Drosophila melanogaster: one gene and its partner. The protein of the gene in region 2 interacts with the protein of the main gene of each other region in a pairwise test. Each region holds a gene or a part of one and is shown on either strand. Other genes may lie near its edges.

Evidence for each region. Proteins that work in one complex are often made in the same cells at the same time.
Region 1: the proteins of CG31482 (region 2) and CG10979 interact in a two-hybrid assay, tested with the Drosophila melanogaster proteins (one large-scale study listed by BioGRID).

What each region holds. Positions count from the first base shown.
Region 1 is NT_033777.3:5,792,682-5,796,434, reverse strand, and holds the start of CG10979 (uncharacterized protein), read right to left. Parts: upstream 1,731-3,753; 5' UTR 1,551-1,730; coding exon 1,395-1,550; intron 1,287-1,394; coding exon 1,140-1,286; intron 1,058-1,139; coding exon 595-1,057; intron 525-594; coding exon 377-524; intron 7-376; coding exon 1-6. Other genes in the region: PSMG1 (proteasome assembly chaperone 1), read left to right, coding at 2,213-2,313, 2,367-2,794, 2,859-3,037; Hpf1 (histone PARylation factor 1), read right to left, coding at 3,113-3,753.
Region 2 is NT_033777.3:6,599,145-6,602,757, reverse strand, and holds CG31482 (uncharacterized protein), read right to left. Parts: upstream 1,517-3,613; 5' UTR 1,449-1,516; coding exon 1,407-1,448; intron 1,349-1,406; coding exon 1,220-1,348; intron 1,163-1,219; coding exon 846-1,162; intron 793-845; coding exon 693-792; 3' UTR 557-692; downstream 1-556.

The sequences.
Region 1 (3,753 bases), 810 kb from region 2:
GGCTTCCTGAAAAATTAAATTGCAAAAGGACCAACATTAATATTAGTTCACACATTGCATGTATAATTTTTAGAAAAACCACTATCCCTATAAAAATGTATCTGTTATATTTTTATTTATGATTATTAGTTGTTCTGTTTTTATGATTCAGGGCTTAAAAAATTCACATAAATAGAAAGTAAATTAGATTGTTTCCTTGGAAACAATATGATTTTTGACATATACATATATGTATAAGGAATGCAGTATGCAGTAAGCAGATATAAATGGACCATGTGAAAGAAAAAAGGAACCTGTCCCCTTGAAGTAGAATAATATCATATATTTTATAATAATAAAATATAAAAATTCTATGGTCGGGTTAAGTTGAACTTACTTGTGATCCTTCGACAAATGACGAATAACAGCAGCGGCCTGCAGAAAGGTCAGCGAACAGGCTGGGCACTGAAACACAAACGCCGATGATGAGTGATGCTTCTGAATGTGCACCTCAAGCGTTTTGTGCGTCTGAAACGTCAGATTGCCTGTGAACGAGATTAGGAAACACAGCTATCACTAATTGTATTCAAGGCCTATTCGGTTAGGTAGTCGTACAGATCTCGCAGAAAATACTCGGCTCCGTTTCGTCGCTGATGGACTGCTCGCCGGAGTCGCTGCCTGCATTGTTTTCCAGCTTAACGGTTGCCAAGGCCTTGCCGTCGGGTCCCACAATGGTTTCAGATGGATTAAGCATGCGATGCACCTCGTCCAGTTCTGTCCTTATGCTGTCGTCGTGGTCCACTTTGATGGTCTGATAAACAGCCTGGCTAGAGTTGGGCACAGACTCCAGCTGCAGAACAGTGGGCGAGCTGCACTTGGCCTGTGATGTAGCCTTTTCCCGTCGCAGACGCTCTATAACACCACTCAGGTCCCTTATGCCGCCGCCACCTCCTCCTCGTAAGGGACGCACGTCGCGGGGAACAGGCGAGCATCCCGTGCTTCTGCTGCGTAGCATATGTTCAATGTCCTGCGGGGACGGACCACCACCCGTTTGTATGATCATAGTGGAATTCTGATCCTGGGGGAGAATTAACAGCGATTAGTTGACATCCTATGGTATTAGAGACCTTGTAATGGGGTTGTCTTTACTGCCCACTCACTGTGTATCCGCTGCCATTTGCCGAACGAGCGCTGACGCAGCAAAAGACGCGTTTGTGGCTGATGAAATTGGCCAGGCTGCGAAACATGTTGCGGCACACCTTGCACTCGTAGATCAGGCTGCACTCCAGACTGAGCAGCTGGCGCACCTGTGGGAGAATCTGATTGTTATCCGGGGATCCACCAAACTGGGGCGCAGGAGCCTCCGCCATTGCGGGCCACAATTGAGTCACGTACTCCACTCAGATGAGACTCACCTCGCTGGTGCCATCCTCATAGGCCCGACGGGCCTCCTCGAATCCCGTGTGGGCGGTGCGCAGCGGCCGCTGCAGCAGGCTGATGTCGTCACCGTTGTGGTCCATCTGCTCCTCCTTGAAAGTGTCAGAGTTACAACGTGAGCTTCGCTTTCTCATGGCGCTGGTTTGCGCGCTTGCTCCCACTGCTAACCAAAAAATTTGAGACCTGTCCTAGCGCGCTGCCCTACGGAATATTTTCACCGACGTGAGGTTCTTAATCTGTTTCTAATTAGCGATCAAAGTGGTTTTCCAATTCGAATATGGACCTGCATCTTGCATTTTTTGTATTCAGTATGACCGTGCTTGAGCGCTGCTTCTGCTGCGATGCTGATCTGGTATTTTTATTAACCTGTGCGGAATTTTTTGTTTCAACTTAAAAAAAAACGGAAGAGTCGAAAATATTTAATCAGGCAAAACCAATAAGCTGGAACCACATTTGTTTTAATATTCGACTAGAACTAACAATTGAAGTTTGATTTCTCCCTTGCTCAGTGGGCGTAACTTCCATCAATTCTCAAAACCCCCAAACAATATTGTCAATACATAATTTTGGAATTAGCTTATTGTTAAATCTTTAATTGACATGCCAAGCCCTAATAAGTTCAGAAAAAGCGCTAAAAGTTCCTAAATATTACCTGCAAATGTAATTTATTCAAATAGAAAAACGTTTATTTTGGCGTTCAGCACATGGTCACACTGATGACTTGAAAAAAACATAGTGACCGGAATTAGGCTCATCATATTAGTTTCACCTTTTTTATTAAATCAAAACAGACACGATGAGCTGTCCAGGATTTGGAGAACTAAATATACCCTCGTCGCGTGCCTTCTGGGACGACTGCGACGAGGATGAATTGGAGAACCTTAAGCCGGTGGAGAAGTGCGTGATCTAATGTTATTTACGTAGGTAGTCCTAATTTCTTGGATTCGCAGGCTGCAGCTGAAGTTTGATGATGATTGCGATGGGGAAGCTGCCCCTGTGGAGAGCGAGATGCTGGTGGTCATTGAGGGCGTCAACGTCACTCACTTCGCCTCTTCTCTGCTGGAAAAGGATGCAAAGCGTGTGTGCGCCATTCCTGCCAATAACTCGACCCTGCACTGGAGTCATTCGTCCAAACAGTTGCTGGCCATAATCAACGAGGACCTGACCAGTAGCGGCGAGGTAGCGGAGCTCCTACTGCCGTACGTGAAGCTTGCCAAGAAAGTGATCACTCTGACGCTTAAGCCAAAGGTCGAGTTCAAAAGCGAGGACATCCAGCTCTACCGGGATCACATTGCCGTTGTCCGCGGCATAGGTGCCAACCAGAAGGATATCACTGAACTAGAGGCTCCCAACTTTATCGCTGGAGTTGCAGCAGGCGGTGAGTGATGAGTGGAAAAGGAGAAGGTTGAATCACCTCACCATCTGTTCACCTTTTTTTGCAGTTGCCAGTTGGCGGGATCAGATGGAATTGCCTGTTACCTCTTTCGTTATTTACACCGACAAGCTGCCCCTCGACGCCACAGCTGCGCAGCCAGTGATCAAGGTACTTAAAGCCGCGGGCGTTGCCTGCAGCTCGAGCTACATCCCTCCGCGGAAGGAGAGCTCTTATTTGTACATGTGAAACTACTTTTGGCTGTGCTCAACTTCCTAGTTTTAATGCTTGTAAAAATGATACGGTTGCGGAATAAAAATCGAACTACTTAAGTACATCAAAAATGCTGAGGTTGTCCTCCCGACTACGTTGCTCCATGTGCGCCTTGGCGATGGCTATGAACTGTGGACGGGAAAGCATTGAATAGGCGGGTACCAGCAACGATGAGGCAAGCATGTGCAGCTCCTTGTGCCCACTGCAGAACATATCGATGCCTAGTTCCAGGGCGCTTCCAAAGTCCGATTCATCAACTGCTATGTTGGCTGCGTTGGCCACCGGCTGCAGCTTCTCCAGAACCGCCTGCTTGGCGGCTCCATTATCGACGTCCTTCCGCTCAAGCATTGCCAGCATCTTCTTGAGTTCGGAATCGCTGACAGCCAGCGGGCGGTATCCCACTTCTGTCTTCTGGTCAAAGGGCACAACAATGCCGGCTCGGTGGAATGTCTTGGCCACAACACGCTTGTTGCGCTCCCGCTGCAGTCGGTCCAGCTGGGCCAGTTCTAGGGAATTGTCACTCAGGTATTTTGCCACCGCCTTTTTGGTCCCCGCCAACTGCCCGCATGAGAACGGAGTGGCCGCAAAATCGTGCTCCAGGTAGTAGAGGAAAGCATCGAAGGCATTTCCAGCGACGAATTGGAACTGGCAGCCTTTCGCAGAGTCGTTGCGGGCTATTAAGAGATTTTCCT
Region 2 (3,613 bases):
TTAACACATTTTATACCCGTTACTCGTAGAATTAAGTAGAATACACTAGATTCGTTAAAAAGTATGTCAAGGAAGTATGTAGAAGGAAGAGTTTCTGACCGTATAAAGTATATTTATTCTTGATCAGGATCATGTCCGTCTGTCTGGTCGTTCGTATGACCGTCGAAATTTCAGGAATTATATAAGCTATAAGGTTAAGATAAAGCATACAGATTCTAAAGCACAAGTTTGTTCATCCATGCAGCCACGCCTTCCCATTAAATTCTCCAATATCTATCGATATGCCAGAAAATTATGAAATATCACGTTCTCACTGCCAGCAGCTGAGTAACGGGTATTAGATAGTCGGGGAACTCGACTATAACATTCTCTCTTTTTTTTAATTCAAAATATTTCATGCATTTAAATAGTTTTTGTAAATGCCAAACACCCCAGTGTTAAGGCAGCACTCCCCAGTTTCGATCATTAAATATCGTGTGCTGTTTTAATATCTTCCTGGTGAACTACAAGTTGCAAGCAACTAGATAGAATGGTTTTACATAACTAACAATGGCATATTCACCAAACTTCCAAAAAGTGAAATTTATTATTGGGTACAGAGTAGTTTCAAATATCAGTAATTGGTTTTTCAAATTGCTTAACTACAAATTTACAAGAACTGCGGCACAAAAACTTCAAAGTGATAATGACCCTCAATTTGTGAATTGCCAGCATAACCAAAGCATGACTATGATGGGAATATTGTCAACTTGAAATCTATTCAAATTGCCTTGACCATTTTCATCACCTTCCCTGCAATGAAATAAAATGAAAGAAAAAACTACAGATGTAATTAATTTGCTTACCCTTTGATCGGCGGAAGAACATTTTCTTCGAACTGCCCGTTCACATTGACTGGTGGATAATATCTTGCTACCACCCAGTAGTAACCCTTTTTGTCCTTGGCTTGCCCAATACCCATTTTTTTCGCATTCTTCCAAACGAGGGCGGTGAAATGACCCGTTGACATTGCAAACTGTGGCTTTTCAAAGTCGTAGTCCGCGATTTCGTCGTACCAGTCTTGAACACATTGCAGAGGGGTTTGTGACCGCATGCACAAGTTTTCACCATAGTTTTGACCGGCAGAACTTGAATGCTCTAACTTTTCATTATTGGCTAGCACCTGTTCGAGGGTATTAAAAGTGTAAAAAGGTAACATTGTTATTAACCAACGAAATACTTTAGCATATTCTTCGCATCCCTTTGTGAGTTCATCGTCCAAGGTCAGAGGCGGACTTCCATGCTTCTCCCTCAACCGATTGTGTTCATTTAGATGGTCCTCCTGAAGATCAGCTATAACCAACACCAACTAGAATACAGGAGAATAAATCAGATTTCATTTAAAATTACTAAATATTTAATTATACCAAACATAGAGCCAAAACAATCAATATGTTCACCAAAAACATGTTTTTTTGAGAATAACTATAGCACGAAAACTTTGACAAACTTATCTAGGATTCTGATTGCTTTAAAGACCTCGAAATTCTGGTGACGTAATTTAAAAGTTACTTAAATTGTAATTAGTTTGGTGTACCTATAAAGCGTATGGAGGATCCCTTAATTAATACAGTTTTTAGTCCGTGCACTTCTCATGCAGTTTGTATCATTTGTACATGAGTATCGTTCCAAAAATCTACTAAAATATGAAGTTGACTTTAGATTCGGACATAATGCATGGAAAGCTGAGTATCAAAACCAATCTCAAAAGAAACACAAATTAGACGAGGGTTAAATTTTGTTTGTCTACTTAGAAGTCTAACTTTGTGTTAAAGGAGCTGATTATTTTTAAAAATAAACCTATAGTTCTAGTGACTCTTACTGATAGGGGTTTTTCCATATCAAAAAAGTCTAGTTGCCTCAAAACTGATGCTTCCGCGGCAATTTGCTTGTTGTGTTGACAGCTGGCCTGAGGTTTCATGCTTTTTGCATTAGGGTACTGACAGATGACTTCACAGAGACACTGAAAACCAGAACGAGGAAAAGCACAATATTTTTTCGGACATTTTTTAATATATTTTGTATGGCGTATGTTTTAAAACTTATATGCAGTTTTATTTTTGTACACCACTTTTGTTTGGGAAATGCGAATAGAAATTTCTCTGTATCAAACGGGCGAACAGACTTATTGGGGGTGCAGTGTGCAATTATTTTGAGCGAGTAACCGCCACCAGGCCAAAGGATAATGCGATGAGTTCTGATCGCCAGCAACAACGGACCAGCTCCAATGGAGCCACGCCCCAGCCAGATATTAAATTTTCGCTGTTGCTCCATGGAGCTGTGGCAATAAAGGTTTGGCTTTGCCAACCATGTGCGAGGGCACTTTGAGGAGGGACGAGCTCTGGCTCCCACACATGTGGCTGATGCCTTGGGCCATCATCGTTGACAACAATATCAGTGGCTTTCGAAACAGCGGCAGCCGCAGGAGCAAAAAAGCAGCTGGAACACGGACTAGTGGAACTTACTTTGTCCTCTGCGTGGCTTTGGTTTCTGGTTTTTGGCTGTAAAATGTCAATTTGGGCCCGTGACGAAGATTTATTGTGCGCGTGTTTGATAGGCGCGCTTAAATATCCCATTCAGCACACATATTTCCACTATCAATTTCGATGGCACCAGCATGAGCATAATCTGGTTCGTCACTGGTGATGGCACCTCTGCTGTTTTCAAAACTTAGGAATGGAAATGATCAGCGTGAAATCTAGGTTTTGTACGCAACACAAAATCATTCACAAAAATAAGGTTTTTGGTACTATGGGTATTACAGATGATTTCACTGCACTGCAATTTATGCAATTTAAAAATTAAATTTATTCAGGGCTTAACAAATAAGAATACTAGTTTTGTATACATTTAGACCTAAATCCAACAACAATTTCAGTACATTCCGCAGGATATATACGATTGCTGCTTATGAATGCAGAACAGTCGCTAAAAAGCCAACGAGTTGACTCGCTGCCAAGAGCAGCATTTAAATGAAAATGGCAAATTCATGCCACATAATGGTTAAACGACATCAGAAGAGCAACACGCAAAGCGTTTATTTTTTCTGAAATTCCAGGCACGCAAGGACAAGCAGCACACACTCAAAATTGTAAGGGAAAACTTGCAATTTATCCATCCGAGTTGCCTCCTGTCACCGGCACCAAGTTGTCCCACTCCTGCCTGGCCGATAACTCAATAGCGTAGCCCGGGGAGCATTGGCATAACTAAACTAATTTCTTTTAATTCAAACACAGCAACTCCGGCCCAACGGCTCTGTTGGACACTGATGGCCAAATGGCTGGGTGTGAAACTTTTATGTCGCCCCCTGCATGGACCTCCGCCCAGGTGGTCTTACCCACCTCCGGGCTCCTGCTTCCCATTGCCCAGTGCCCATTGCCCAATCCATTTCTCCCTGGCGGCAGCCCTGACCGACATTCGATGAATTGACCAACGCAGCTTGTTATTTTTCGTGTGCAACAGCGCGTTTTATTCGCTCCTGGAGGTTATGTGCCCCTCACCCCGTGGCATCTAGATTCAAATCAGAGATGGCACTTACCTATCCTAAGAAATCTTAAAAAAAAAGGTGAGCCAG